Linked DNA regions of Arabidopsis thaliana. The protein of the gene in region 2 interacts with the protein of the main gene of each other region in a pairwise test. Each region holds a gene or a part of one and is shown on either strand. Other genes may lie near its edges.

What was found.
Region 1: the proteins of AT5G40690 (region 2) and ATG8F interact in a two-hybrid assay, tested with the Arabidopsis thaliana proteins (one large-scale study listed by BioGRID).
Region 3: the proteins of AT5G40690 (region 2) and ATG8B interact in a two-hybrid assay, tested with the Arabidopsis thaliana proteins (one large-scale study listed by BioGRID).

What each region holds. Positions count from the first base shown.
Region 1 is NC_003075.7:9,303,025-9,314,377, forward strand, and holds ATG8F (Ubiquitin-like superfamily protein), read right to left. Parts: upstream 5,515-11,353; 5' UTR 5,322-5,514; exon of another isoform or gene 5,101-5,321; 5' UTR 5,090-5,100; coding exon 5,053-5,089; intron 4,959-5,052; coding exon 4,903-4,958; exon of another isoform or gene 4,466-4,902; coding exon of another isoform or gene 4,373-4,465; coding exon 4,320-4,372; intron 4,229-4,319; coding exon 4,110-4,228; intron 3,959-4,109; coding exon 3,858-3,958; 3' UTR 3,315-3,857; downstream 1-3,314. Other genes in the region: AT4G16510 (YbaK/aminoacyl-tRNA synthetase-associated domain-containing protein), read left to right, coding at 1-100, 251-328, 414-498, 593-681, 1,708-1,845; RGF6 (root meristem growth factor), read right to left, coding at 2,362-2,805; AT4G16530 (uncharacterized protein), read left to right, coding at 8,331-10,058; AT4G16535 (leukocyte receptor cluster-like protein), read left to right, coding at 10,697-11,353. UniProt on the Arabidopsis thaliana protein: Ubiquitin-like modifier involved in autophagosomes formation. May mediate the delivery of the autophagosomes to the vacuole via the microtubule cytoskeleton.
Region 2 is NC_003076.8:16,284,893-16,295,333, forward strand, and holds AT5G40690 (histone-lysine N-methyltransferase trithorax-like protein), read left to right. Parts: upstream 1-5,493; 5' UTR 5,494-5,877; coding exon 5,878-6,510; 3' UTR 6,511-6,821; downstream 6,822-10,441. Other genes in the region: AT5G40660 (ATP12 protein-like protein), read right to left, coding at 1-269; AT5G40670 (PQ-loop repeat family protein / transmembrane family protein), read left to right, coding at 1,076-1,194, 1,286-1,418, 1,698-1,787, 1,880-2,004, 2,095-2,137, 2,219-2,336, 2,436-2,485, 2,565-2,699; AT5G40680 (Galactose oxidase/kelch repeat superfamily protein), read left to right, coding at 3,862-5,109; AT5G40700 (transcriptional regulator ATRX-like protein), read right to left, coding at 7,155-7,241, 7,334-7,385, 7,473-7,544, 7,619-8,247, 8,480-8,551; AT5G40710 (zinc finger (C2H2 type) family protein), read left to right, coding at 10,199-10,312.
Region 3 is NC_003075.7:2,321,277-2,332,438, reverse strand, and holds ATG8B (Ubiquitin-like superfamily protein), read left to right. Parts: upstream 1-1,848; 5' UTR 1,849-2,379; exon of another isoform or gene 2,380-2,495; 5' UTR 2,496-2,512; coding exon 2,513-2,549; intron 2,550-2,981; coding exon 2,982-3,037; intron 3,038-3,116; coding exon 3,117-3,169; intron 3,170-3,455; coding exon 3,456-3,574; intron 3,575-3,672; coding exon 3,673-3,776; 3' UTR 3,777-3,997; downstream 3,998-11,162. Other genes in the region: AT4G04630 (senescence regulator (Protein of unknown function, DUF584)), read left to right, coding at 1-276; AT4G04614 (uncharacterized protein), read left to right, coding at 4,525-4,678, 4,755-5,131; APR1 (APS reductase 1), read right to left, coding at 5,721-6,744, 6,840-7,131, 7,289-7,370. UniProt on the Arabidopsis thaliana protein: Ubiquitin-like modifier involved in autophagosomes formation. May mediate the delivery of the autophagosomes to the vacuole via the microtubule cytoskeleton.

The DNA.
Region 1 (11,353 bases), on a different chromosome or scaffold from region 2:
CAAGAGAGTTGCTACCGATTACTATGACTGGCCTCTCGAATCTCGTCGCGACGTTCTCGGCGCTTCCTCAGTCGACCATCTCTGCAAGAGTATTGTTCTGGTACTTCAATTGCTATATAATTGAATTCTATCGGATTTAGTGTATTTTATGGAACAATTTTAAAATCTTCGTTGATATGTGATTGTGACACTACACATTGAATCTCTGTGCCTGTGTTTGTTTCCTCACTAGATGCTGACTATATTACAGGTTAATACTCAAGCTGCATCAAATATTTTGGATTGCAGTGATCCAAACAACTCAAAATACTATGTGGTTGTGGTTCAGGTGCTCCTCATGGTTCCTGTAGAATAGCATTTTCACCTTTGTTTCGTCTTTAATCGTATTCATCTGACTATTTTACTTATGGTAGTATACTGCTAGATTCAATGCTGAAGCAGTGAAGCAGTTTCTTTATTCACTAAACGAGGGCAAGATCCCAAAGAAAAGATTTAATCGTTAGTGCTTCTTATTTCTATGATCTGTTAACATATTGAAGTGTATATGATATGTTGCTTCTTTATGCTGAGGCTTGTGTTAACCTCTGTGTAGTGAGACTTGCTCCTGAGGAGACGTCGATTAAATTGACGGGGTTTGAGCATAATGGGGTAACCTGTATTGGTATGAAGACAAACATACCGGTAAGTTTTGTTTCCACACCGTTATTTCTGTGATAGGTTTAAAAATCTTTGTTTGATTGAAGCTGGCCAACTTTTCTACATCATGCATTATTGACATGTTTTGGGCGTGCTTGCTCAATGCTGCTCTACACTATTAATTACATATTAGACATAGGAGTAGTATGAGAGGAACCTCTACCCACTTATGTTTTCTTCTCCTAGACAAACAGTTTCGTGTTGTATTTTGTATTGAGAAATATTTACAGAGAGTTTTCCCTTTCATACACATGTTCTTGCCAAGCGTTTTGCAGACACTATAGTTTATTGTCCTGTCCTAGAGGCCCGGAAGGTTCCAGTGCCTAATGAGTTACACAGCTAGGTTTGGCCTTGTTTTGTTTCTCTTAGTCTGTACAGGAGGGTGTGGTGCATTATAACACAATTTGAATTGGTACAGAGCAGAAGTTAAGAGTTTCCGTGTGAGCCAGCTGCTGATTGTCCCACTCATTGTCTTTAGTACTTTCCCCGTTGATAGTAAAAAATTAGAACCTCCGTTTTTACAGTTCAATACCTTCTTTGCATTACAAGTGCGAGAGTTAGTAATTGGTGTCAGTCAGAGAGACTTAAATGGCGTTATTTTTGGTCTGTGTATATATAATCTTAGGCACGTACCCTACTGCATTGATGTGTTTATCTTCCTTTCCTTATCCGGAATTGGCCCACTTCAGACAACACACTATTTGTGCTACTGTGACACATGAGTCTTTCAATATCATCTTTAGACCTCAGTAATTAAGTAAATGAGTTTCCCTTTAGGGTAATTAGTTAGGTTGCTTATGCTCTCATGATGAATTACTTGATCTCAATTGGATATGTGCAGATTGACTTGGTATTTCGAAGTATTCATTCATAGTGGAGATATGGAGTTTAGTATTAATTCATGTTTAGAGTTTCCATGGCATATTCAGACTAATCGTGCTTTGAATTGAAATAAACTTTCGATATATTGATACTGACGAGTTGGATGGGGGGGGCTTTGGGAAATGTCAGGTTATATTGGATGAGGCTATAACCAAACTTAAACCGGATTTCTTCTGGTTGGGTGGTGGAGAAATCGATCTGAAGCTCGGTGTCAGAACATCCGAATTCCTTGAATTTGTGAAACCATTCATTGTTCCTTGCAGTTGAAATCAGGAATATGTATAACACTATTTTTATCACCCTGTTATGAAATGTTAGGCTTAGCTTTAAGATTTTAGCTTCAATGAAGGTTTTTATCTCTTATACACATTGGTATTCTTTGTAATGATACTTTTGTTACGTGCTACTTGGAGCTAAAATGGCGGCAAAGAGATCTATTTGAGTCTACATGTCGATTATTCTAGATTGGTTATTGTTGATTTAGCTTCAGGCTCGGTTTAGTTTCTGTATTTAAGATCTCTTGTACATTCAAAGCTTAATGAAGAATTTTCACAATTCTGTTTCTCAAATGTTGAAAATCTTTTATGCAATACCCATAAGAAACAGAGTAATTAATAGGAAGCACCTTGTTTGTTGTATACGAGGAGAAATAGAGAACAAAGAAGTTGGTCATGAATATATATAGAGATAGCACAAGAGTCATTACAACCACCAACATGGTGAATGCATATGCATATAACAGTATGATATATTTAGAGAGACTGGTATATATGGATCGGGTAATTAAGACTTCTCGTTGTGGATCGGAGGCTTACGATGAGGCTGAGGATAATCCATGACTACTACTTCTTCCCCTGTCTCGACTCCACCCAACGCCCGCCTCCTTTCTCCACCATTGAAGACGTCCAAAGAAGCAACCTTGTGATGATGATGCTTATGTGACCTTAAACGACGAGCGGCAGAGGCACATCCAACATTGGAAGACAAAAGCAGAAGAATGAAACAGAACACTATCACGAGTCCACTCCTCAAAGAGCAAGACATGACTTCTCTTATTCTTCTTCTTGTTCTTGAGATACTTGTGTATATATGCTGTGTCTGTATACAGGGAGATGAGACTAGAGCAGGACAAAGAAAGTTTGAAATGTTGTTAATTGGTGTAAGAGAAGAGAAGAGGGAAGGAGAGTATTTGTAGGCAGAAGAGAGTAAAGAGAGTAAGACAAGCATTAAATACAGGTGGGGGGAGGGGTCCTTCATTATCATAACATGCTCTTGTTCCTCTTCTCTTTTATTTCTTTTTAATCTTCTCTCTTGTCTATTATTCAAATATATTTTACATTCAACATACATATCTATCGTATGTATATGGGTGTCTTGATCGGCCAAACCTTTTGTCTACTTGAGAGTCTTCGTGGGGTCATCATCTCCTGCATTCTCATTTTCCTTTCTTCCATTTGCTCACCTTATTCTCCGGTTCTTCACCTTTTTCATCCACGCCATTATTGTATGACCGACGTGTTTACTCTCTTAAGTCCTAATCGATCACCTTCTTATCACTACACTATTTGACATTGATTTCTTTGGACAAAACACTCACAAGTTATGAAAAGCTTTTACATTCAACTTTCACTTCAATGGTCCAAAATCCCAAAAACACAACCGCGTCTCTCATGTTCCACGTGACCGGTTGGAACCTTGAATTACAATCTTTGACGATCATAAATCGAGCTAAAACTGTGAACAAATAAATATATGAAACAAAAATCAATATTGAAAAGTGTAAGATGAGAAACAAGCCAGCATGGTCCGACCGTCTCCTCCTTCTCTCCGTCAACGACAATGTGGGACCTTTATAAGATCGTCGCCGGCCAACCTTCAACCGGTACCGACCATGTCTGCCACGTGGCACAGTTCCCTTGTGCTTGCACTTCTATTGAGTTTGGTGATATAACTTCTCTTCACTTAGGCTTTGCAATTTGGAACTGTCATGGCCCATGTGCCATAAGCGACGTGTTATGTCGGCTTATAGATTGAAGACATCAAAAAAAACACAACAAAGTCAAGAGGGAGATGTGATAGATTCACCTAAAGTAGGTTTTTAGATCCTTGAAAGAAGATTATATACATTATTTTATGTTTTCTGTACATATTAACGCCCGACCAAAGGTCCTTAGAGAATAAGTACATAGGTGGCTTGCTTGCTTAGTAATTAATAAGAAGATGAAATATTTGGTGAAAATAGAGAGGAGTAAAATGAAATATCCAGCAAGAGGTCTCTATTATGGAGATCCAAATCCAAATGTGTTTTCTCCGCTGTAAGTGACATAGAGGAACCCATCATCATCCTTTTTCTCTTCGTACACAGAAGACATGAGCGCACCTGCAAAGTTACCAGATCAGATCAGCCAAATATAAAGAATTTATAATCACCGGGGAACATATAAGTAGACGCCTTCTTATGCTCTTGTTACTTGTGTTAAAAGATAATGAAACTCCTGAGTCTTGAATACAGAGGAGATCTATCTGTTTACCTGCTGGAGGAAGAACATTGTCCACGAATATGAAGATAGCCTTTTCTGCACTCAATTTGATTCTTTTGCGAATGACATACACAAACTGCCCCACAGTCAGATCAGCCGGGACTAGGTACCTGCAAATTTGAAAAAAGCTTAGTTATCAATCACTATTATTAACAAGTCAGGTCCGAATGAAAAGGATACTGATGCCATTTATATGCTTACTTTTTCTTGTCGATGGTTGGTATATCACTCTTCTCAGCCTTCTCAACAATCACCTGGATCCCACAAAAATATAAATGCGTGGAAATCATCATCTCAAGTGTCATTTTTACCATGTGAATCATAAAGCACGTAGCCACATGAATCATGCAAATCTACTTATCTAAGCCGTAAGTACTCAGTAAGAATCGAGTTTCAGAAAGTCACGTTCCAAAAAATGACAACTAAATTCAAAGTCCTAATGTTGTTATAGTCACTATAACTCAATCAACTCCATGTAGTTGAAACAGTGGCAAACATATATCACAAGCATGAAGCTAATCAAACAATAATAACTTGATAACCATCCTTTAGTCGGGTAGGGTGTCCATTTAAAACCAGATGCTATCCCAATAAGTTCATTATATCCCAATAAGTTCATTACTACCATATTGCTGGGCCATAAACCACAACAACTTAACCTGCATAAACTCAGTCAAACACAAAAGATTGATCCGAACATAGAAAGGGAAACAATATGCTAATCACATATAACTTTAGAAATGTATGATCGATCAATGTATAAGAGAGACACTGAAAGTCTCACCGGAATCCTATCAGGATACTTCTCTCTAATCCTAGCAGCCTCTGCCCTTCTCTTCTCTGAAGATTTAGGAAACAGGATCATTAGATCAAAGCACAAGGTTTTGATTTCGAGGACCAAACAGTAAAGCAAGAACAAAGCTCAAATCCAAACCTAAGTCATGCTCTTGCTTGAACGAGCTTTTTGCCATTCCTTCCACGCCTACACACACATAACAAATAGGTGACACCAATCAGACAACCATCAAAACAAATTTAACACTCAAATCAAATCATCAATTCCCAAACTCTGGAACTCAGATTATCAAAATTCCCACAAATCTATCAGTCGATCATGTTAAAGACCCAACCTTTAAGTAATCTAAACGAAAGTACAGGATCGCAATCAAACCAAAAAAGAAGTTAAGAACTCAGTGATCAAACCTGTAGACTACAAAGAACGAAGCTTTTCTGCGATCAAACACTTCTCCAGAGCACAACGCTATCGTTGAAGATAACAACAACAATTAACGAAAAAATATGAAAGAAAAAGCAAATAAGCAACCTACAAAAATTCTGCAAAACATTAAAAAATTATGCGATAAGGTCAGAGATTCTCTACAGATGGTGTATGGTAACATCTAAACACTTCAGCTGACGTTGTATGCTTAATCTGTTCAGTGAGAATCTGACGGTAGATATTAGCTATTTACTGAAATAGGAATCTCAACCGTCCATTTTACTGAAGGTGTACGAGGTAACTGTCTACGTAGATATTGCCTCCAACAAAGGATAAAGAAGAACCGGATATGCTGGGATCACGTTTCTGCATACGATATGACACGTTTACCCCTAGAAAATGTGTGTTAGGTGAAGAGTTCGGAAGGGTAATAGTTGGAAATTGAGAATGTCGCTTATAAGCTTTGCCTCTTCTAACAAAATGTAGGGCCTAGTGCAGTAATGGGCCTTGCAAATAAACGGATGGAAATATGAAAACTAATAAATAAAGTATAGGCAGAAGTTTTTTTATGACTGTTATAGAGATCTGGAGATGTAGGTCTTGGTGTATGGACAGCTTAGGATTTCAAGCTTAGGCATTTCGAAATCAAGGGTTGAAAGCAATTACTGTATTTGAGAATATATCTTCAACACTGCACAAAACTCATTTTGTAATTTATTAAAATACCGGAATTGAGTGATTAATGTCAAAACCGAGAATTTACAGGATAACAAAGATAATTAATCAAAATGAATCTTTTATCAAAGTAAGATAAGTTTTCTAACAAGTTTTTTACTTATAGATATAAAATATTATAGTTGTGAAAAGACATAAACATTTTTAAAAGTTAAGATTGAGTTTTCTGAAGTTGAAAAAAAAATCAAAATTATTTTTTAATCATTATCCAAAATCATTACTTAATCCAAACCGATGCCCACCCTAATTATTTAACTATATTAATAAGGTTTGTAAGCAATAGTATATAAAAAGCTAAAAAAAATATAAGGGTATCTCACTACGTATGACACTTATCAAGTTTGTTAGAGCATATGGGGCACATATGTGGGAGTATGCACTTTTTCATGTTTATTTCACTGCACTTTTTCATGTTTATTTCACTGTTTCAAAACAATCAATACAATTATATCCTTACTCTCGTAACCTCAGGTCAAATAGCATGGTTAAGAAATGCCTTTGACGAATGATTTAGCTGTGCAGCAATATATAGTACTTTGAACTGCTCTAATGGGAGTGGATTGTGGATTTTCCTTTCTTCTGTTTCTTAATCTTGACATTAGATTTCCACTCCACCCCATCTTCGTCTAGTACCTTATAAGTCGTTCCAGCAATGTAGAAGGTGACTTTCTTCTCTTCAAGGTACCTCACAAAACGTTTAGCAAACTCAATGGGTGTTGAATGGCTTTTGTACTTTGATAAAAGACTCACAGCAATCTCCTAGTTAGGCTTGAAAATCAAAGTCTTGACAACTCGTTATGCCTCATCAATCACTTTTCCTCTAGCCAAGCCGTCTAAATATGTCCCCATTATTTCAATAGTTGGTTCTATCCATAGAGTCTTGACTATCCTTGCAAGAAGATAATGCCCATACTCAGTTTGTCGAGCATGTGTACAAGTTACCATCACGTTCCAAAATGTTGAGTGAGTTTTGATCAAGGTGGAAGGAATGTTCTCAAAGACTTGGATTGCTTTGAAGCATTCACTATTTGTGCCTAAGGTTGATATAAATGCATTCCACATACCTATACATGTAGCTCCAGATTTACCGCATTCATGAAAGAGTTTTTCTGTTAAGAAGAGTTTCAAACTCCAACTCTTAAGATTGGAGAGATATATTAGTCACATGGTAACTTTGTTAAGGAAAACAAAAACTCAAATATTTTTAAAATTTGTTAATCAAATAATTTTAAAATTGATTTCTTGTATAAAAGTATTGTTTTTTTGTGTATTTTAAATTATATTTTTATTTTTATTAAGTTATTATGAATCAAATATTTAAGAATTAAATTGAATTTTGATTTATACTTATATTCCAATCTTGTATATAAGTTAGTCAGATTGAAATATATGGTCGAAAATTGGTAAAAAATAATATTCACCATTATTTTGGTCATTAAGTTTTGACCACTTTTTGGTAAGATGTTTTCGACCACTATTCTCGGTCAAAAATGTCAACCGATCAAAATATTTCTACCATTTTTATTGGTCTAAAATATTCGAAGCAAATGTTTAATTCAGTATAAACATGCAACCAACAATTTACAAATGGTCAAAGAATTTCTACCAATTTTATTGGTCAGAACTCAACTTGCAACCAACAATTTACATCAACTTCGTTTTGGTAAAAAAAATATCGATCGAAGATAGGTGTTTTTGACCAAACTGATGAATGTATCAATTCTAATCGTAATACATTTTCGACATTTACCACACTGATGAATGGTTTTTACTGTTAGGGTCGAACAAAAAAAAAATCCAAATTGATGTTAGCTGTTCTGATGTCTCTAATTTCGATTAATTCTACCAAAACATTAATAACTTGGACTACATTTTAGTTGAAATTTACCCCTTAAAAACATCCAAATTGGGTGATACATTGGTGAGAGAGAAACCAAACCTCATTTAAAGTCATAAGTTATAATAATGCAGATGAGGACAAATATAGATTAGGATATGGTGTTGCTGGTAAAGGTGTGAAGCGACTTTGCCTCCTTGGTACCTTGAGAAATGTAATGATGAAGATGATAGTGTTCGTGGTGAGGATGATGATGGTGGATATAGAGGTTATGAAGCTGAGTGGGAAGAAGAGTTATTGGCCCATAATTCTAAAAATATACGACAGCCATTTTGAATGATTTCAACTAAACATACGGTTAGTTCCGGTTTATATTCAGTTTCGTAACCAAAGAAAAACGCAAATCCCAAATTTTCCGGAAATGGAGGAATATTTGAATCTTATGTTGAAAGCGAGAGAGATTCTTGTTAGTGAAAGCCATGAAGAAGTAGCGATGGTCATCGATCATCTCTTTAAGCGTCAAGACTCCGAAGAGTATAAAACATCGCGTGCGCTGTACGACATCTGCGTTTCTTGTAACCCAGGTTGCTTAACCCTAAAGCTTCTTAAAGTCTATCAATCTTCTTCCAGTGGCATTCTCAGACTCCGATCAATCTCTCAACTCTCTGAGACCCTCACCTATCTGAAAAATCAAATCGTATTTTCCAAATTCTCTCTCGACTCTCTCTATGAAATCAAACCCCTTTTGATTTTATGCCTTACAATGCAAGAAACCAAAGAATCTGACATCAAGATCCTCAGGAAAATCGTGTCTTTTGTAACTTACAATGTCGTGGAGTTGCATAAAGACAAATGGGACGAGCTCGGTGATTGTATCTTATCCCTAGCGAGTAGCAAAGAACCTGTCAAGGCTTTTCACGTCTTCATCGATCTGCCACCAGTCTACAAGAGTTTCATCGGCAAGTTTTTGGACAAAATTTTAGAGGAAGCTAGTAATGTCTTTCTTTATCCTTATAGAGTTGAAGATTGGAGCTTGGCTTTACAAACTTTTGTTAAAATGTGGATTCAGCTTGAGAAAACAGGGGTGACAGTAGAGTTACTAATGGCGTTGATGGAGATTTGGATTTCCTCTGTTGTGAATTCAGTAAAGAAGCTAGTGGAGATGAAAAAAGAACAGTTTTTGGTACGAGGGCTTGAAGATTTCGAGAGTTTCTTCTCAGGAGACATGAATCTGTATCATTACACTAAAGACCAATTCCATTTTGTGTTGGCTTCCATGAACGAGATCGAAGGAGTAGTCGGAACAGAGACAAAGGAGATTGTGAGGAAGATCAAAATGTTGGTGACAGAACCATATGATGATCTTAAGAATCGTAGAGAAGAGTTTGAACGTGGCTGGTATGACATTTTGAAGGATTTATCATCACTGGAAGTGTTAAAGATTCTTGCGTCCTCTGAACTTGAAGATAGGTCCAAAGAGATAGCAATCAGACGACTCAATGTCTTACTCTCTGATCACACTTCAAAGAAAGTGCAGATAGACATTTCAGAGATGAGACAACTCCAACCATTGCTCATCTCTTGCTTAAAGGAAGAAGGACTTTCCTTTAACAGTATGTTCAAAGTCCTAGGTGAGGTGGTGAACCATGTTGCATATGAGATGTTGATCTACCAAGAGGAGACATGGTACGAGCTACGAGATTATATTGCATCGAGTAAAACAGAGTTTCATAGAGCGGTTTATATCTTCCAGTGCTTAACAATGGCACTTATTGACGACGATTTTGTGATTCCTGTGATGGAGAATCTTTTCCTAGAGATAATCACAAGGCTAGACCCACCAAGAGAGTTGTTGGTAGATAACAGTAGCTGGGTCTTGGCGTTTATGGGTGGCTTTTGTTTAGCAATTCACTTGATAGAGATGTCAAGTAAAGCTGAATCCGTTAAGGAGATTGCACATAAGATGATAGATTCTATAAGAGAGCTAATGGAAAGAGAAATGGAAGTTGGGCTTGTGAAGAGAGGTTTCAGAGATGTGGAAAGCATCGTGAAGAAACAATTGGAATGGTATAGTACGAGCCAATACAAATTCATTAAGGGTCTGCTTTGGAGACTGTATGCAATCAAAAGGCATGAAATGGGAAAGTAAGATTGTGTTGTGGAGAATCAACGTCATTGTGGAGAGAGGAGTCAAAGAAGAGGAAAAAGAGCTACCAGAGAATGAGTTTGATTGGCTCAACCTTAATGCTGAATAGAAAACTAGTTTTTGGTGTTCACTATCTGATATTGTGCAGAATCTTGTTTTTGGTGTATATACAGTTTGCATTGAAGAAGAAAATAAATAGATAAGAGTTTTGGAACATGTACTTAGTAGTTCTTAAAGCACTTTAATTTTGAGAGTTACTTAATAATCTTTCATTTACTAGCACTTTTATCTTGATGCTAAAACAAATTCGTAGCATCAACAATACTACATGTGTCACAGATTTTCTCAACAAGAATCTGAAACAGAGATTCATTACTGTTGTTGACGTTGCATCAGTCTAAAGCAGATCTATTGGGCCTTTGATTATTAAAATATCACTTAATGGGCTCAATGGGCTCAATAGGCCTCAAAGTTAACTATATCAATAATTAGGCGATTTTCTCTAACTTCTCTGCCAAAATTCAATTTTATTCCGATCAAGTTTTTATTTTCCAATTCGCTTCGAAGTTCTCTCATCCATCTCCTGGTTCGATTCAATCTCATCGTTTGAAAACCCTAATTTTGTTTGGTAAGATTAAGCCATGGGAGGTCACGGTGGTTTGAATATTCTTCCACAGAAGAGGTGGAACGTTTACAACTTCGACAATCGAGAAAAAGTCCGAAAGGAGGAAGAAGCTGCCGCTAGAGAAGAGCAGATCAAACGCGAGGAAGCTAGAAAACGAGATGCTGAATCTCGTCTCGAAGTGCTTCGTAACGTCCGTGGCTTGGCGCCTCTCAAACGAGCGTCTCCGGAGGCAGAGAAGGGTAAGGATGAAGCGGTGGTGGCGGCGGCTGTTGTTAAATCGACTGCTGTTGTTGTGGAGAGTGTTGAATCGGAGGAGCCTAAGACGGGTCATATTAATCTGTTCGAAGGGATTAGGATTTTTGATCCGATTGAGATCAAGAAGAATGATAAGCCTGCGGATGAGGAAGATCAGAGAAGGAAGAAGATGAGGAAAGAAGCGGCTGCAACGGCGAGAGCCTCTGCGAAAGATGCTGCTGCGAGAGCTGGTGATCCTGATGAGGAGAAGTATAGATTGGGATATGGAGTTGCTGGTAAAGGTGTGAAGCGTCCTTGGTACCTTGAGAAACGTAACGATGAAAATGATAGTGTTCGAGGTGAGGATGATGATGGTGGATGTGGTGGTTATGAAGCTAAGAAGAAGAAGATGAGTGGGAAGAAGAGCTTAAAGGAGTTG
Region 2 (10,441 bases):
TAAAACCTCTTCCCTACGATCGAACCAGTCATGAAAGACGTCGGCATCGTCACTGAATCCGATTCGTTTTTCCGGCGAGAGTTCGGAGCTTTCACTAAGATGGGTTTCTCATTTTCCTTCTCGAATGTGAACGACGACGAAGATTCCGATGGCTGAGTATCGGAATCGGGTTGACGAGCGGCAGATGTCGTACATAAGGATCTAGCACGAATAGCAAGATTAGAGTTTCTCGCTGACTTAAAAGCTCTTCCGATTAACATCGCCGCCATTAATCCTCCCTCTCCGGTGACGAAAATGGGGACCTCCTTGCTTAGGGTTTTAGATCACATAGATCGTCAGATCCAAGCCTAAACGACGTCGCAATAACCCGGAGTGATAGTTAACCTCTACTACAATGAAGGTGTTTTGATAATTGTGATTATAATTACAATTTTATTCTATCTCATTGTAATCAGCTCTGTAATATAATATTTGTAAAGAATTTTTTGACAAATATCATTTGGGTTATATAGACAATCTTTTTTAAAAAAATTGGCTAAATTTAGTTTGTAAACTTTTCTATAATTTTCAAGAGTTACACTTACACCAATTCATTATGTGATATGTATTGTTTCATCCGTAAATTAAATAAACTAAAGTATTCTTACCCAAATAAGTAAATTTTATTACTCTAAATCCAAAAGTTTTGTTAATTAAGTGATCCGAGTCCCGAGAAAAAAATGATCCGAGTCAAAAATGCTGAAACTTAACTCAAAACGGCATCGTTTTAGCCGCCGGTTTCAAAACTTTAAAGAAAGAACGTAACCATAAAGAGCGCCAGATTCAGAGATAAGGCTCATTAAAATCACCTGCTTCACCCATCACGCTAAGATCGTGGAATCTTATATCACTAGACTCTCCCAGATCATGACACGTCATCATCTTCATCATGAGACCCATAATTTTTTGAAACTGTTTTATTTCACTCCCCAATAATATTTTCTGCTTTTAGCTCTTTTTAAGGCTCTTCAAAAATCTCCGTCAACGTCGAGAACAAAATTTGGAGAAATCGAACAGACGATCGAGATCGAGGAAAATGGCGTCGTGGAATTCGATTCCGCTGGAGATCTCGTACGAAATCGTTGGATGGATCGCGTTTGCTTCGTGGTCAATTAGCTTTTACCCACAGCTGATTTTGAATTTCCGTAGGAGAAGGTAATCTAATCTACCTTTTGTTCTTGAGATTTTGTTTCTATATCTGTAGTTGAAATTGAAATTGATGAAATCTTGGTTGTGTTTGGGAAAGTGTTGTTGGATTGAACTTCGACTTCGTGATGTTGAATTTGACAAAGCACTCGTCGTATATGATCTACAATGTCTGCCTCTACTTTAGTCCTGTTATTCAAAAGCAGTACTTTGACACTTATGGCGATAAAGAGGTTTGTTTCCTCTTTCTCTCTGTTATTCATTGAAGCATTAAGCATTTAATGAATTTGATTGTGGAATCTAGAAATGAGTTTTGTTTGGATTCTAAGATGGTTCTTGTTGGCTCTTATCTTCATGGTTACAAGTTTACCTTTACTTATTAGCTAATGAAGTCAAAATTGAAGATAAAAGTTTGTTCCTTTCTAAGTTTCAGCAAAAAAAAAACGCTTTAGATTGTTCGAGCTGGTTTAATTTTTTTTGAGTCGTTTTGTTATAATTGTTGCTTATTTCAGATGATACCTGTGGCTGCAAATGATGTTGCATTCTCGATCCATGCAGTTGTAATGACAGCTGTTACACTGTTCCAGATCTTTATCTATGAAGTGAGTAATCAAGTTTCTTAGGCTTGCCTTTGTCTCTTTATCCCATACAAGTGTTCTTTTTTTCCTGATGATTTCTAGTGATTTGCTCTCAGCGTGGACCTCAAAAAGTATCCAGACTTGCTATAGGTATTGTGGTTGTTGTGTGGGGATTTGCAGCTATCTGTTTCTTCATAGCATTACCTACACACTCTTGGCTATGGCTCATTTCAATCTTCAAGTAAGTTGTTGCGCAAAGCCTTCTGAACCAATTCTTTTAGTGGTAATCTAACAGTTTTGATGATAATGGTTTATTTGTTCATTGTTATAGTTCGATTCAGGTCTTCATGACATGCGTCAAGTACATCCCACAGGTCAGAAAAGATTCCAAACCTTAATTTTTTTCATTATTGATTGAATCAGCATTACTCAGATTTTATGTGTTTGCTTCACAGGCAAAGATGAACTTCACTAGGAAGAGCACAGTCGGGTGGAGCATCGGGAATATTCTTCTCGATTTTACTGGAGGACTTGCTAACTATCTGCAAATGGTTATACAATCTATTGACCAAAGTAACAATCTCTTCTCTATCACATCAATAGCTTTTGTTTTCTCTGATAATAACATTTTGAAAGAAAACTAAAACTATCTATTTCCTTTGGTTCTTCCAGATTCTTGGAAGAATTTCTATGGGAACATGGGAAAGACTCTTCTCTCACTTGTAAGAAAATTGATGGAGTTTTTTTTTTGGTTCAATTCTCTCTCTGTCTCTAATAAACGTCTCAAATTGTTTTTAACAGATATCAATATTTTTCGACATCCTCTTCATGTTTCAACACTATGTGTTATACCCAGAGAAGAAAGTCTCAAAATCTCCGGAAACTGGTGAGGAATCGAACGAACCACTCATTGATTCTTCTCATGAACATGTTTAAAGATCAGATTCTCAAGAGTCATTAGTTTCAGCGTTCCCACTGTATATGTTTATATCACAAAAAGGTACAAATGTGAGAACTCTTCAGATTGTCGTAATATCAGTCTAATGTATCAAATCAATTATCACAGAAACAGCAAATGTATAATACAATGTTCGATCTTGGGTTATATTTTAAGAAACAAGATGAAAGTTAATAGAGCACGATCCATTACCCATAGTAGTGCATCTACTAGTAGTCTTAGGCACAGCATAGAAGAGTTATATCTATGCAAGATCCAACCAAAGTCACTATGGTTCGAGGGGTACCATGAACCATCATCTTCTTGGCAGCGCATATCGATAGGGTCTTCTCTAAGGTTCCGTTTGCGTCCTCTGCTTTTTCTACCCACTTCTCTAATCTCCAGTTTTCTACTTGATGCATCGCGAGCTGTAGTGTACCCCATAGGAGTCCATTAACAGTGAACACCATCCTTTCTTGTCTTGTTTCCATACGTATCATGACCAGAAATTTCTATATGTATATCACTCTGTCATGACAAACTTTATTTCTCAAGTTCATTGATAATACATTTGGAACATGGAAATAACTTAAAACTAAGTAACTTACTTGAAATTGAAAAGATAGTCAAACTTTTTTTTTGTCAACTTCATAATTCTTCATTAAAAGTTTGCCAAAAAAAACAGTCAAAACTGTAAAACTCATTAGTTCTTTTATGGTAGAAAAGTTAAACAAAACAGTCAAAGTTTTTGAAACATTTATCAATAGTATTTTATGGAAGATGGTTAATATCATTTGACTACCATTGTAGATCATTAAAAGCAAGATAGCCTCTATATATATCTTAGTAACTTTTCTTCTAATGATTGTATTACTGGCTCTGCCTCATCTTCCTAAATAACTAAATCAAACCAGGATTCAAGTGGGAGGCCAATGCAGTCTTCACTTTCAACTTTCAAGGTATAGAAATGTAGCATATCTTTCTAATCAACCTAATAACTATGTGATACATTTTCTACATAATCACCAGTTATCTTCACCATCGGCACTTTGCTAATAGCGGATTATTGAAATATTTTAATACAAATGCATACACTTCCATATTATAATTAATGATGATTTATTCATATTAGTTTTTGTGGTTTGGAATCTACAGCCTAAGATGTCATTGATGCTACAAAAAAATCAAGCTCGTGGAACTAGAGCAAGCCTGAGCCAATTTGAGCCAAGAAAGCTTCTGATTGCTAGCACTAAACCCACCATCCCTGATCTGAATGCTGAACCTTGTTCCGACTCGGAAGAAGAAGAAACAGTGGAGAATCTCACAAGTCTTGCACCTCAAGATGCACACAATGGTCTTCCTAAGCTTATGTTCGACCTTGAGGTCGAGATCTTTTCCCGTCTTTCATGTTTTCAATATTGGAAACTAAATCTTCTCAACAAGCAGTTTTCGCAACTGCTACAAAGTCGTGAGATTTTTAAAGTGAGACGAGAACGTGGACTTGTGCAACCATATGTGCTTATGTTTTCGAGCGGTGAAACTTGTTGGGTAATGTTTGATAAAGGTTTCAAGAATTTCCGACAACTTCCAGAAATTCCTTCTGACTTTTGTTTCTTTTATGGAGATAAGGAAACGATTACTGCGGGTACGCATTTGATAGTCATCGGGAGAGAGGAGAAGCGTATTGTGGTGTGGCGATACGAACTAGAGGTAAACAAGTGGATCAACGATACTGAAATGATCACACCGCGGGTAATGTATGCTTCCGCAAGCCGTGGGACCGATGCATTTTTCGCTGGAGGAATCAAGACAAGCGAAAACGGGGGTCCTGATGTTGTGAACGTTGCTGAAAGATACAACTCCGATACAAAAACGTGGAAAGCGATGAAAGCAATGCACAAGCGAAGAAAATTTAGCTCGGGATGTTTCTTGCGGGGTAAGTTTTACGCTCTTGGTGGTCGAGATGAGAATGATGTGTACCTTACTTGTGGAGAAAGTTACGATGAGTTAACAGATTCATGGAAGTTGATACCAGACATGCTCAAAGGCATGACTTTCATGAATCCCCAATCCCCTCCACTTATTGCTGTGGTCAAGGACAACCTCTACTTGCTGGAAACATGGTTGAACGAGCTTTGGGTTTATGATATAAACGCAAACGTTTGGAAAAATCTTGGAGTTGTGCCTGTGAAAGCAAATGCTGCTTTAGGTTGGGGAGTTGCATTTAAGTCAGTTGGAGATAGGATTTTGGTGATTGGAGCTTCAGTTACTAAATCGTGGGATAACAAAATGTCAGTTTACACATGTTGCCCATTTCCAAAAGTGGAAAAGATTACTTGGGAGGAGACTAGCTGCGATTGTGTTCAGCTCGGCCATTTTATCCGTAACTGTTGTGTGATGCTTGCTTAAGGTTTCTGAGCAACATATATTGTGTTTCTGTTTTCGTTTTTATGTTTATGTTTAAAATAAGTTTTGGCGATTATGACGCCAAAACATAAGTCAAATTGTTGTTATGTCTCTCTGTGTGTGTGTGTGTGTGTGTGTGTATGTGTGTTTGTTTCTCTGTTTTGCTTTTGCGTCTTGGGTTTAGACGGCAAATCATCTCATAGAAATAAATATTTGTCGTAAACTTGTATTCCGATGTTTTGTGTTATTTATTTAAAAGTCGTGTTTATGTGCAAAAGATTACTTCTGTTTGTGTTTTTATAAGCTTTATTTACATAGTTTTGTGGTTTCCTCTTTGGCCATAAACTCAAGTTGTCAATTTGTATTGAAATTTGTTAACTGTTTTCAAGTGGCCTAAGTTTTATTTTATAGTGTCGGTTAGACAATCGAGTATCAAATTTAGTTTGAAGAAGTTTTACTAAATAAAAGATTAAACATATACAATGTGGGATTAGCGTGTAGTTTGGTTCTTTCCTTTTGTTTTTTGTTTTCTTTTTCTAGAAGAAGACAAATTCCAATAATTGAATAGTGGAAGGAAGTTATCTACACAACTCATTTGGTTTGGTCCACAAGCTTCACTTTAGGGAATTCGTCTTGACTTTTGACTATTCCTTGTCCCGCAAGTATATTCCTCTTCTTGTTATATCCTTCAAGCAACCTTTTTTATCATTTCACATCTTTCTTCTTCCTTTTTTTTGTGTGTGGTTAAGGTCTCATCGATCAACGGATAAGATGAAGCGTGAAGGCAAACAACACGGTATGGTGAGGACTTACCGGATTCTGCCTCCGTCGCTGAATCCAAGGCCGGAATCGAAGTTGGTCAACCCTTTGACTTCACGGCCAACCGCTGGATTATTTACCAAAGTGACATCAAAGCCGACCAATCACTCGAAATTCACCGGGAAATGTGGTCAAGCAAGGTGCCTTGACTGCCATATGCACCCGGTCACCAAATCTAAAGCCAAGACTAAAGGCTCTTCAAAGGTGAGAACAAATGATGTCACCTATAAGATGCTGACTTGGCAGGTCGCTGCCGGTGGGCCTAGACCCGGTTTGAAGCTTTCCGGGTTCTCGGCTACCGGAATACTTGATCTTATGTCTGATGATTATGGTTATGATCATGATTATGATTATGATGAAGAAAATGAAGAAGAAGAAAACAGAGGGAGTGTTGTAGAAGAAGTTGTGAATATACAGAGTAGTGATGATGGTGGTGAAACAGAAGAAGAAGGGTCAAATGATGATGATGATGATACAGATGATGATGGAAGGATGAGTTTTTGTGATGTGGGGATGATGATGATGATGGATCATGTGGAAGAATATGATGAAGGATGGTATTTGGTTGAAGAAATGATGACTTAACTGATCTCTCTGATTATCCCCCAATAATTGTCTTTCCTTTTGCTTTTGTAAATTTTATCATTTTTAATAACTTGGGGGAATGAATGATTATTTCTATGTAAATGTGATTTGATTCTTAAATCAAAAACTATGATTTATAATTGTAATTTATGTAAAGTTGAAACCTTTTCTCAACAACTCATTCCCACTCCAAATCAGAACAGAGGTTCAACTACTACTATTTATCATTCTTAATAACTTGTGTTAGTGTGATTTGATTCTTAAATCTTGTTTTATAAATGAAATTAATGTAAAGTTGATACCTTTTTCCATTCCAAATTAGAAAGAGAGGTTCCTGCAATCACATCTCAATGAAGAGCAATATAAAACTTAACATATCGAATTCGAATCGAGTATAAAGACTATGAAAGAAGGAGAAAGGTTTTTCATTGAAGATGAAGAAGATACATACATACAACAAAAAGGTTCACAAAGATACAATACCAGAAAAAAGAAACAAACGTTCTTCTGATATTCACTTTTTTCTTGCTACTGTGCACTCAAAGATTCTCTTTTTTAGTTTTTTACCACTCTTGAATCCTAGGACAGATCAATCTTTCTACTTGCAAGTGTTTTCAGAGATTCCTCTTCTGTGTTTTGGTGTTCTACCTTTGTCTTCCTGCTTCTGTTTCCCCAGCCATCTCGGGTTTGAAGCAAAGACATAGAAATGGTTTCTTACTCGTCTTTCTCTGCTGAATAAACACAGCTAGTGTCAGTATTCATATTACTAATGGAAATGAGAAAAGGCTTCTTCTCATGATTTTGTTAAAAGTCGAAATCTTACCTTCTTTATAGTCAGCTTTTGATCTTGAGTTTTAGTGTTTCCCATCAAACAGCTACATCACAACAACAGTATACAATTAGGATAGGAACATCAACTCAAATACACATTGACTCAAGAAGAGATAACAAATCAGTCTTACCTCAAGAAACCGAATCTAGGACGAACTGGTTTTTCGCTTTTCGTCAACGAACTATGAGTTATCGGTTTTCCACTGCAAAATTACAACATAAAACAATCAGATGGAGGACAAATTCTAGACAAAACAATCAAAGCTGCTTTTGTTACCTTATTTTCAGTGAGAAAACAAGCTCCATTGCTTTGTCCGGAGTTTCAGAAGTTGCTGATTTCTCTATAGACAATCTAACCACCGATGAGTTCTTGGTTACGGATTTTCTCTCTTCTTCTTTCTCTCCAACGAAACAACTCTTCTTCACCAACTCTCCATCCTCAGAGTGATTATCTTTCTCTTTATCATCATGAATAACCTGCAAATCATCTTCTTGTTCCAAAACCGCAACATTTGTTCTTACTGGCTCATCATCTTTCTCAATACTCAACACCAACTCTTCACTACTACTCAAGACTAACTCAGTTTCATCACCCTCTTCTTCCTTAACCTCATCCTTAGTCAATGTCTCCAAAGTGTTAAGCAACACCGCAACACTTTCTGGTTCTTGTTTAGGGTCAGAATCAGATGATTGATCTGAAGCTTTTGCTTTCTTTGCTTCAGCTATTTTCTTGTAATGAGCTTCAAAGAAAGCTTTCTTCTGAGCAACAGATCCAGGCTGAGAGAACTTCTCAGCTTCATCGACATACTTCTTATGCGAAAAACTTGACCATTTCCCCCATTCAAGATTCTCTGTCATGAATCTACCAAATGAAACTGATTGACTAAGCGCATGCATCGTATTATCCTGCAACAATCCAACATATCAAAATCAGAATCTTACCAAAACTCAAAACCAAAGTTATAAACTTTCTGGTGAATCAAACTGTTTCCAATCAAACCCAATTCAGATACTTTGAGTAAAATCAACATCAAGATTCATATCTATCAAGCTAAACCCTAAAGTTTGAAACTTTACATTCAAAATCTCCCAGAAACCATCGAATTTTCCCAGGAATCATAGAGAGAATGAAACTAACCTCATGAGATTCATTACGAGAAGGAGGAGCTGCGAACGAATAGGAATGAAACAGAACAGCAGATTCAGCCATTGGCCACAAAACCTCAAAATCGAGAACTTCTTCGTTGGAATCTCAAAAGGAAATAAATAAAAATCGAAGCGTTTTAATGGGTTTTCTCACCGAAACGGCTATAAAAGAATTTTTTCGAATTTTAAAAACTTTTATTTGTCAGCCCTAAACACATGTTTTAGGAGACGATCTGAAGAACTTTGGTTGAGATCTGGGTCCCACGAAACAGATAAAACTCAGAATATCTTTTTAAATAAAGAAGATACTCAATTTTGAGTTTTTATTTGAAAATTTGATAGGAATTTGAGAAACTGAGAATAAATTATGTATCAAAGAAGTCTAACAAGAATGAATGATTCTGCTATAGTTGTTGATATGAAGTGGCTGAGAATTGCAACAAGAGAGAAAACGAATTTTTTCTGGTGATGAAATATTAAAATGTGAAATGCTTTTTGGGAAAAAAAACTCTGTAATTTAAACTGAATTCTGAGTAATTTTTTTTTTTAATTTTTAGATATATCAACGCGTTTAAAAACTATTTTAGTTGTTTTAACTAAAAAAAATGAATCTGATTTTCTATTAAAAAAAACTTTATATTAGTACTTATATGCTTACATTTGATTTTTTTTGGTTAAAAAAATGAATCTGATTTAGGGTGTGAATATTAGAGTCATTAGAAAGACTAAAGAAATAAAATTGTAGATAAGTTTGGAGAAAAGTAGCCAAAAAAGAAAGAAGAAGAAATAAATACGATTTATTAGGGAAAACTAATTAGTAAGTGATTAGCGTTGGTTTATGTAACGGTAGGTGTACTTTTGTAACTCCAAATAAAACAGCTTTGAGTTACAAAAGTGATGTTGTTAGAATGAATACATTACACTTCAACCCATCACAAAAGCAACTACTTTTCTTCCTTTGCATCCAACAATTATTTAATCATATAGCTGAAAATATTGATTGCTTCTCTCCCATAAAAATAAACAAAAATGTATATTAACTCTTTTAGCGTTTTACTTTAAAACTTTTTTTGGTCAAACAAAAGATTTTATCATCGCTTTTATATCTCATAAACAAAATGTATTAGATTATTTGTCATCGTTGAAACTTTAATTCTTTCTCCTTCTTTAGAGATTAACCAAAACCAAGTTGAAGTTTTGGTTCGTTTTTTTTAATTCATATTTCTAAATTTCAAAGATTTTATTCATTATAGAATTAAAAAAAAAATTGACAAAGTAATAGTGAAAATTTCAGAGTAAAGCCTTAAATAATTATTTAAAAATCCAACATTTGGTGGCCTTTCAAAATATTTAGAAGTTTTGGAAAAGGGTATAGTCCATTATTCAAAAAAAGATTAAAAAATCAATTGAAGAGAAAATAGTTTAAAGCATTTAAAGGTTTGAATGAATTCTAACCAAATGTGTACAAAAAAAATTCATTATTGTATCTTCATATTTTTTAGTGAAATTAAATAACATTGGATTTTTTCCTTGAATACAAAAAACATCCAAATCCATTAAAGACTAATATTCAATAACACCACCTATAAATTCTTATGTTTTGAAAATAACCCCAAACTATTTTTCTTTCTTAACCCTTAAAGTTTCATTTTTCATATATTACACCAAAATTTGAAATCATCTTCTTTGATTGTTTTTGGTGTGAGCGAAGATGGGAAGATCGAATTCTCAATGCCCATCTCATTGGATTCTCCTCTGCTTCTTCATCTCTTCTCAGTTTTGGGGATTCTCACTTCCCACTTCGATAATTCAACAAAATCTCGAGGTGAAATTTTTAGGGTTTTTCAGCAATTTCAACTGTAAATTTCGTGTAGAAGAATGTCTGTATCACTTTAGGGTTTGTAATCGATTTGGCTTACTTGGGATTTACTTAGAATTCTAGATTTTGTTCAAA
Region 3 (11,162 bases), on a different chromosome or scaffold from region 2:
TCATCAGCACCTATGAATGTCCCTGATTGGTCCAAGGTTTATGGTGACTCAAAGAGCAACAGAAGGAGTAGCCATTTGCATTCTCATGCTGCTGACGATGATGATGAAGATGATGATGGTTGCATGGTTCCTCCACATGAATGGGTTGCAAGAAAGCTAGCAAGAACACAGATCTCTTCTTTCTCTATGTGTGAAGGAGTTGGAAGAACACTTAAAGGAAGAGATCTAAGCAAAGTGAGAAATGCTGTCTTGTCAAAAACTGGTTTCTTGGAGTAAGTAGGATAAAATATCTCATCATCATCATCACCATAATTATCATCCATGTGCATGGAATATGAATCCCATAACTCTTGTTTAACATTATCATCATGAAAAACTCAACTTTATGGTATCCACATCATCATCATTATCAATGTCATTGTCGTCATCATCATGTGGGGATCACTATACCAAGAGTCTTTTTGTTAAGTTTTTTTTTTCTTTATTGTTGTTATTATTTTTCAATGTGTTATTTAGAGTAGATAAGTATCATAGTGATGATGATGACTTGTCAGCCCCATGCATGGGTCCCGTTTTATGTTCTTCTGTTGTTTTTGGTTTCTCTTTGAAGGTTTTTTTATGATCTTAAATTAGAGCCTAGAGAGGGGCATCTCCTTTAGAACCTTTAATTGGAGTTGAGTTCTTTACCATGTTTTGGTGAAAGATTTTGTCGTTTGCTATCGACAATGTTATATATAAATTAGATATCTTTCTTTCTTTGTTAATATTAGCTATGTCCATCTTTGGCTAATTATGTATTTGGCAAATCTGCTACTAAATATCATTAATTTAGCCGATTTCATGCAAAAATAAATAAGCCCTAAAATGCTGAGTTTCCAATTCTGAAGACATTTTCAACCATATCAATCGATCAATGTCATATATTCACATATCGAAGGTGTACATATAAAGGATTGAATCCATGATTTTCCTTTGAACTCTTTTATGAATAGTTTTGAATGTTTTTTTGTTTGATTATAGTTATAAGATATTTAATAGCGGTGAGTGAACGAGACCAAAAAAAAGGTGATTAAATGTAATAAACTTTAAAACTATGGGATATCGAGAAGAAAATAATGTAACGAGAAAACATCACATTAGACTTCAATAATGCTTTTAAATATAGAAAAAGGATTGATAGTAGAAGCAAAGATTTTTATATTGGTATGATTAGTAGTAAAACAACACGGTAAAAAAAAAACAGTAGGCGAACCAAATAGTTAGATTTTGATTGGTAATCTCGTATGGTTGCAGTATTTTACCGTTCTAAACTTCTAATTATTACTAGTGACGAAAACGTTGAAAAACGAGATTTTTAAAAAAAAGTTGTAACTATTTTTTTTAACAAAAAAAAGTTGTAACTATTTTGGTATTGTTTATTGTTTTTTTTATATACCTAAAACCTCTAACCTTGTTTTTTACCAGTCTTACTTTTGACATAAATAAAAATAGTGGTTAGAAATAGTTTTCAGTTCTGCTGCTTTCTTACCCTTTTTATGTCTTTATGATTGGTAATTTGGTATCAATCGGAACAAACTAAAATTGTTAATTGTAGTCCTTAGTCCTAATAGTTCGGTTATCCATTCGGTTTCAGTTTGTATCTATTCGGTTTCAACTTTTTCGGTTCTAAAGTTTAGTATTCATTTGGTTATTTTGAAAGTTTGATTCGTATCGGTTTTTTCAGTTTTAAAATTTAATATCCATTCTATTATTTTGCTTTGAATATTTTTGGATATTTCGGTTATTTTGGATATTTTCGATCATTTTTGAATATTTTCGGTTATTTTTTCGAGTATTTTTACTATTTTATATATCTTTTCAATTATTTTTAATTATGTAGTCTAAAAATAAATAATATTTAGTATCCATTTAGTTTTGGTTCTTTCGGTTCTTTCATTTATAGAATTTAGTATCCATTCGAATATTTTCCAATTTTTGGTTTGCTTTGATTTAATTAGTTTTGCTTTGATTTTGATTCGGTATATTCGAGTTGGTTTATTTGTCCACGCCTAGTAGTCCTGATCATGTAAATGACAGAAAAGCCCAAACGAGATCCAAACCTATAAAGGCCCAATAAATAGTTCACAAACTCATGACCACTACAATCCAACGACGTCGTATCATCTCGCTGACGTAAGATAAGCATCGTAACTAATTAAAATCCAAGTAATAAGTTTGGGTGCCGTGCAGGTAACAATCACTAAACCCTAAATCCATCCTCTCTGTTTCCTTTATATATATTCTCTCCTTTTTTCATTTTTTTGATCCTCTTCTTCTTCTACAATCAAAATTCATTTTTTTTTCCTCTGATCATCATCGAACCCTAGTTTCGTCTTTTGGGTACGTTTGATTTCGCCTCTCCACTTTGTCAATTTCGAGTTTTTGTGGTTTGGGTTTTTTTCCCGATTTAGCCTAACAGATAAAGTTTCGAGTTTTGTTTCTCTTAATCATCGTAGATACTAACCGAATCATCATGGAGAAGAACTCCTTCAAGCTTTCTAATCCTCTGGGTTAGTTTCCTTGTTTCTTCTTTTTTACTTTTTGCAATTTCTGTAGGGTTTTTGCTTGATTGATGTCACTCGATAAGCGTTTAAAGGATAGTTGTTTACTTCTTTGGTTTTCTTCGATCTTTTGGGCTTTGGATTGTGTTACGATTATGATCTTTGTTAAAGGAACTCAAGTTTTGATTAGCCTGATCACGAGTTTGTTGGTTCTGATTCTCGATCTCTGATATTGGTTACTCTGTTTGTATTCTCCATTGATTTACATTAACACGATTAAGTTATTAGACCTAGTTTGTTGTTGAATCTATAAAGATTTAGTACTTGTGCCTCTGGAATTTTCCTGGAAGTTACTTGAATTACATGTCACTAAGATGTGTTCATGTGTTTGTATAATCCGTTAGTTGTGACTGATTTTTTATGGTTTTGTTTTGGTTTCAGAGATGAGAATGGCTGAGTCTACTCGTATCAGAGCGAAATACCCTGAAAGAGTTCCCGTATGTTTTCTAAACTCTCACTTTACGGAACAAGATTTACAGTGTCACCCTAAGTTTCTAATTAGAGAACTCAATACAGGTGATTGTGGAAAAAGCTGGACAGAGTGATGTTCCTGACATTGACAAGAAGAAGTGAGTAATTTGTTTTACATATTATCTCTATCTCTCTTGTTGGATCATAATGGTATCAAATCACAAATTAGCTTTCAATCTCCTTTGAGTCTAATGGAAATGTGATATGATCCGGTAATCCTTTTAATCACTAGCTGATGAAATTTTGAGTCTAACTATAGTTCTCATTCTTCAAAACTTGTCCCTTGGTACAGTTTAGCAGTTTCTAGATACAGAGATTGAATTGCATAGCATTATTTTTTGCTGGTTTTGATGTTTTTTGCTGACACCTGTTTCTTCTCTTTAGGTATCTTGTACCAGCTGATCTAACCATTGGCCAATTTGTGTACGTTGTGAGGAAAAGAATCAAGCTTGGAGCTGAAAAAGCCATCTTTGTCTTTGTCAAGAACACATTACCACCAACTGGTAAAGGATTTTAACACTTTTTAAACCTTGTGTGAATCTTCTACTTCTATGGTTCATGTATAAATATGGTTTCTCTCTTTTCTGGTTCTTACAAACAGCGGCATTGATGTCTGCAATCTACGAAGAACACAAAGACGAAGACGGGTTTCTCTACATGACATACAGTGGAGAGAACACATTTGGTGGATCTTTCTACTGCTAATTACCTCAGCTTCTACGTCTGATCCTCTTGATGATTGTACATTCTCGTCGACCTTAATAATGTCATTTTACTTTCTTGGTTTAACCTTTTGAGCTCTCTTACTATCTCTTGCATTTGAAGATGGTATTTGAAACAAGATTCTAATTTGACTCTCTAGTTTCTTTGTTTTGTTTCCTCTGCATCTTCTCTATTGCCATTGAATAAAATAACCTCTATAGTAATATCATCATCAACGTTGATAAGTTCGTCTGATCAATTTACTAATTAGCTAAATTGTCTAAACCGAAGAAAAATCCTAAAATTGAATTAACCGAAAAAAACCAAACCAAACCAAGCACAAACCAAAAATTGAATTGGAAAATTCGAGACTTATATTATTCTCTTGGTTCTACGGACATGGACCGAGTATAGCTTCTGATCTTGCGACTGTTGCTGTCTCCGCCGCGAATCGTTCTCCTACCTTCGTCAACTACACCGGCAAGGTACGAAGCTTTTGTTATACTCTAATTAGATTTGTGGTATCTTCGTGAACCTTCAATTCAATTTAGGGTTTCTCAATTCGATTACAAAGATTCGTACTTGATTTGTTTTCGAATTGCTGGACGAGTTTGTCTTATTGGGAAATGATTTTAGTAAATCGTTGAAGAGAAATCAGGAAAGTTGAATACTTTCTCTCTTAAAGTTTTGAGCTTTTTGGATTGTAAAATTGGACTAATGGAGAATTCAATTCTGTGTTAGAGTTGTTATCATGAAGAAAGGTTTGATGCGATGGGATGATGATGATGATGATGATGATGAAGACTCTTCTGAGGAATCATCATCGTCTTCTGCTTCTGATTCAAATGTGGATAATACAGAGATTGGGGAGAAGAAGAAGAAGAGAAAGAGCAAGAAGCCAATAGGTAGGAGAAAAGCTTCATTGTTTTAACTTTGTGAGAGCTCTTTTATGTAACTTTGTTTTTTTTTTTACGGTTGCAGCGAGGTTTGCGAAGAAAGATAAGAAAGCTTTTGACTATGAATCTCTGCAGCAGCATGGTTACAAAGCTGTTGGTCTTTCTGATATTCCTGCTCCCATGGAGAAACAGGATTGGTCATGGACTACGGGAAAGGATAAACAAAGAGTAGAGGAAGTGAAAGAAAGTTATCAAGAACGAGAAGCTACAAGAGCTGCTGCGGTTACTGGTGGCGAGACGATTGCGAATGCGCAGTTGCGGAATGATAGGAAGAATCTCTCTTTTTCACAGAAGGAGAAGAAGAAGAGAGATTTGGGACAAGCAAGTAGAGGCAAGAATTATGTTGAAGAAGAGAAGAGACAGTTGAGAGAGAGTGGTGTTTACTCTGGTTTTGACTCTTAAGAGACTCAACTTTGAGGTAATGTCTTTGTATTTGATGGTAATTTTATATGAATGTGAAGAAACTAGAGCTTGAATTCTCTTAGTGTCACAAATTTGTATGGAGAATAATCAGTTGCTTAGCATTGTTTACTCGTTCTGATTCCTGAAGATCTCAGCTTTGAAATGTATCTTAGTGTTCCTGAAGATCTCAGCTTTGAAATGTATCTTAGTGTTCCTGATCTCAGCTTTGAAATGTATCTTAGTATATGATGATAATTTGATATGAATACGAAGAATCATGGTCTTGATTTTCATGGAGAATCATCAGTTTCTTAGCTCTATATTCTCAAAAATGAATGCAAAGAAGAAACAGAGGCTTGATTTTAATAGACACCACACATTTACATGAAGAATCAACACTATCGCAACTTTATAAATCTTACAATACTGCAATTACTCAAGCTTTGTAGCAGAGCTTATCTCTGACTTTGTGATCCAAAGCTTTGAATTGATTCTCCAAACACCAACTTCATCTGTTCTAGCAATCTGGAACGAGACGAAGATATAATTCTTATTCCTCATAGAAATGTCGACTGGTTTTGTGGTTTACTTATCGGACAAGATTCAAGAACGAAGTCAAAGACTCAACATCTCTCTTCTCAGACGGATACTTGATCGGTCTCGATGAGTTCTTAGGGAAAACCAGAATGGTAGGGAAGCTACCGAGCTGCAATTCCTGCTTAGCAAACTCCTTCTGGTCACCATCTGCTCTGAATTTGGCAACCTTAATCCCACTTCCAGCCAATTTATCCGCCAGTTCATCATACGATGCTTCCATGGCTTGACAAAAGGGGCACCACGGAGCATAAAGCACGACGATCCAAGGCTCTTTACGGTTCTCCAACTTCATCAAATTCTCAATCCCCTGCCTGCTCAAAGTCACAAGATTCTCACTCTTAAAGATATCTGCAACAGCGGATTTCGATTCCCCGTTCACTTTAGCATCATCGGAGTTTTCTTTGACATTCCCTTTGTGAAGTCCACATTCCTTGGCTTTAGCATCTTCCCACCACCATCTCCCTTCTCTCTCGTGCTGACCCGGTAAAACCGCTTTCGTGCAAGGCTCACATCCAATCGATATATACCCTGCCGCATGCAATGTGTTAACCGGAACATCCATAGTCCTCAAGAAGTTCCAAACATCATTCCCTTCAACATTCGCAACCGGATTCCACTTCACCAAACTACCAACTCCACCATCCAAACCTTCAAACACCGGATCAACCTGAACAACCGGAATCTCAGACCTTGTCCCCGGAGATTGATCTTTCCTCTGACCAGTAATCCAAGCCTTTAAACCCTTGAGAGCACGCCTCAAAGGTCTCACCTTTCGAACACGGCAACACTCCTGATGACCATCCTCATAAAAAGAGAACAATCCCTTGCTCCTAACCAAACCTTGAACCTCAACAGAATCAGGAAACATATACTCAATCCTAATCCCATAGTGCTTCTCCACCGCATCGAAAAACCGATACGTCTCAGGATTCAACCTCCCTGTATCCAAACTAAATACTCTAAATGGCCTCCCAGTCAAATGAGCGTACTCAATAAGAGCAACATCTTCTGCACCACTGCAAACACACAAGAGCCAAAACAAAGATCAGCAATCTTTCTTCAAAAGCTATCAAAAAGCAAACTTATATCAAATCTCATGATCGATATATACCTAAATGCAATGGCGATATCGTTCCCGTATTTCTCAAGAGCTTTGTCCATAATCTCAAGAGGTGAAGCATTCTCTAACTTCTTAGCAAGCTCTTCAAAATCCTCAATCTCAACCACTTCAACTTCCTCTGCAATTTCTGCTACCATTGTTGCCGCAAGAGGAATCATTGAATCCTTTGTCTTTGGTTCAGCGTTTAAAGGTTTAACAGATGATGATCGCTTCCCAGATAGATTCAGAGACACAGGAGCAACATGAACACGATCCAATAACCTCAACGAACCAATTTGCGAAACTGTAAGAAACAAAAAAAAATCGAAACTTTTAACAATTCATACCCAAATTAATCAAATTTCTTGTGTGATAATCAAAACCCACATTGACCCATCAAACAATTTCTCAGATTTCGGACGAACAAATTGAAATTTCTCAGAATTGAAAGTAAATTATACCTTTTGGCTCCAATGAAACACCGAAACGAGAGTTTATGATCCCAGAAGACGAAGAAGAAGAAACATTTACAGACATTGCCATCTTCACAGCAAAAATTGGATTTTTGTTTTCTCTAAGATTTGTTTTGATTCTTCGTTTTTTATTTTCAATTCAAGATGATTTGTGAGAAGCGTGGCATTATATAACAAAAATACGAAGAACCAGGTGATTCCAGATTCATTGAACCTGGACACATTGGTTTGTTTTTGGTGACTGCGAATATTCTGGTCCAAGTTGATGATGTGGCAAGTTTAATTGGATGAATTTATTTTTAAAATCATCTCTGATTTGAAGGTAGTCAATTTTGGCAGAACCAATCAATTTTTTTAATTATCTGTTTCCTTTTTTCCACATGTTGGAATCAATTCACTAAATAATTTTTTGTTCAAATTTTTTAAAATTTATAATTAAATTTAATCCATATAATTATTTTAATATTGGATTACCAATAAAACATTTATTATTAAAACAATATTCTCTCTGTTCTTTTTAATTGATTTTTTAGAAAAAAAATTGTTTCAAAAAGATTGATTTTTAGATTTTCTATGCACTAATTATTAGTTATTAATGATAAATTTTAAAGTTCAACACAAATAATTAAATATCATTGATTTAGAATTATAGAAAAATATAAATCACAAAAATCGATACATTTATAATCAGTTTTAATATGTTTTCTTAATATGTGTGTTTTGTTAGAAAATCAATTAAAAATAAACAAAGAGAGTAATAGCTTGTAATATCTTAAGTTTTTAAATAAAAAGTCATTTATCAAATTTTTTTTATTATTATGAATCTATGATATACTCTTTTTTTTGATAAAGATTTTATACATTCTTCTCTTTTAAATGCAAGCATTTTTTAATAGAAACTTTTGTTATTTTTCTGGTCCCATATCTTAATTTAAAATATACTTATCAACAATAAATTAATATATTGGTAAAGTTAATTACATAAGCTGAAACAAGTTAGGTGATTCACCTACCTATACGTTATAATGCATGTGGCAAAATGAGAGTAACACATGTTTGTTTGTTTGTTTTTTTCTCTTCTTGTAATAAAATAAGAAAATAGCTAATTTCTGATGTGTGAGACTCATTTCTAGAAGCTTTAAAAGAGATTTATATGGATTGGTTAAACGGTGATAGAATATATAGTTTATGCTTAAATTAGTGGATAATTAAATTTAAACACTATCTAATAAGGATCATAAAAACAATTATCATCTAGATGTAGATAAGATATTAATATTTTCTAACTCCTTTTTAGGATCATTACGATAATTTGTTTTTTTCATCAAACACCATTTATATTAAGTTATCGGAAAGAGACTCTCCGCTAGAAAGAATCATTCAGGAACCGATGTGCTTACATGGGAGAAAAGGCTATTACGAGCCCGAGTTTTCTTAGCTAAACAATCTGCTCGAGTATTAGAACTACGAGGAAGAAATCTAATACGAAAAGAAGGAGAAAAATAAACTAAGGAGCGATAGGATGTCAATTCCGCTGCGAATGTCGGCCAATCTTCTTGATTGTTAATGATAGAAATCAGGTCTGAACAGTCGGAAGCAAAAGCGCCAGAAGTATCGCTAATAGAGATCATGCATTCTATTGCCCATAGCAAGGAATAAAATTCCGCATGAAGCGGTGATAAACTTCGTCGAGCACTCTTGAGGCCAAGATGGAGGACTAAGTCTTGTCGAACAAGGACCCAACCATGTCCGCTTAAGGGGTCCTCTGCAATGAATAACACTTTTTATTCTGAGGTATTCCATAGCCCCTGATCCATCTTTCAATTAGTTTTGTTGGCTATTGGGCCGAATAACAGCAAGTCCTTTTAATAGAATATTAGATTATTAGTGTATGGTTTGGGCTTTCTTCATGTAAAAACCATTGATCCATCTTTCAACTAGTTTTGTTGGTTATTGGGCCGCATGATACATTTTAGCATTTGTTCTACTCTTCTCGGGAACTAAAAATGAAATCAATATACAAATAGTCTTTTTTTGTTTAATAAAATTCTATCAGCTGATCCAATCAGTTCTTCTAGAAACGGCCCAAAATGTTTCAGATTGGACTTCTTCCTGAAGGACCACCACACATTTTTGACTATCAGGTGAACCAATTGGACCAAGGTCTTACTAACATATTTCCTAAACAAATGTGATATACACAATAGTTTATAAAAAACTTCTATCAATCTTTATACTTATGGTCAGATTCCGTTTATAAAAATAGGAAAAATTATGTGTTAAGAAATGTATTACCAGTGTCATTTTCTTGATAATTAGTCCATTATGATTCAAAATTTCTAATTTAACTCATCAATCTTATAAAATCAAAACTTTTGATCCATTTGGATAAAACGTTCGGATTGGCCCATATCACTTTGACACTGATAGAACAATTGGGAAATCATGCTCACACATTGCATGCTGCAATTCACAAACCATTTGAAAACTGGTTTTAGCTAATAAAACTATTTCGGTCTAAATAAACCCGTTAGGTCATTAGTAATTTAGTATCCATCAACAAAACGGACATGGCCGGTCCTAAACAGAGCCTCGTGAAACATTGACTTTGGGCCTCTGATTTGTTTTTAAAATTTTACAGTATAAAATAGGCCCAAATTATTTAATTTTATAATATAAAGAACCCATGTTTTCTAAATCTTAGGAAATAACCTCAAAAACGTTTTTTGTAACTTTGGTTTCCAAAATTTCAGGACTAGGCAGTCCTAAGCACAACTCTGAAATTTCGTTGTTATTGCAATCACCGGCAACTCAATAGGTCGATGAAAGAAAATTGCATAAAAGCTTGACAGTTTTTCCTTTTATACTCCGATTAGCTTCACCGAAAATTCTCTCTTTCTGTAACTCTGGCTAACCCACGTTAGCCCAATTACTATTTCAATTTCTTATTGGACTGTAATCTTTTTTAAAAGAAAAGTCTATAGAAACCACACCAAAAAAAAACCAACAAATAACAAAAGAAAAACAAACATAGACACGGCACTTTTTTCCGACGCGACTTTTGGATGATAGAAGTAGGAACGTAGGATATGTAACGTGATTATCATGCACATAGTTAATATCTTATGAATATCATTAACAATTATTTAGTATTAATTTTAATGTTTATTTATTGTTTGAGAACCGATAATAAATTGTTTTTAGTGGTGAGATCGATATTGGTATTATTAAAAAAAAAATTTGTAAAATCAAAAAATAAATTTATAAAAACATAGAATTACAAAATTACTGTAAAATTATGTCACATAATCACGAAAAGCCTGCAAAATTACTTACTCGGGGAAAATGTAGCTAGTTAGCTAAAACAGTAGAAAGACTATCGTGAATTTTCTTTTTTTATAGAAAAAAACGAATTTTACAGATGAATTATGAGCATCCACATCATCTGATACTTAATATCAAAAGAATCACTACACTGATACAATATCAGATCTAAGATCTAAGTCTATTGTTTAATCTATTAAAAAATTATTTAATTCTTGATAATCTAAATATATCACCTATGTATATGATCTAATAGCTAAACCATGCTCAGTTTAGTCACTGCGTGGGATTAACTAAAATTGCTATTAGACTATATATTCCGGTAAAAAAGTAGATATATCTACTACACTTTATTTCCAAAATAGTATTAAAGTCATTCATTTTTTTTTCCGGTAAACTGACAAGAAAAAATTAATACATGCGTTACGAAGAATAAAAAAAATGCGACGACGATGTTGGAAAAACGTGATGATGTAAGCGCCTCACTAAAGAGTTTCAGATTCTTTTTTGTCCTCTCGTTAGACACTTAATTCTCTTG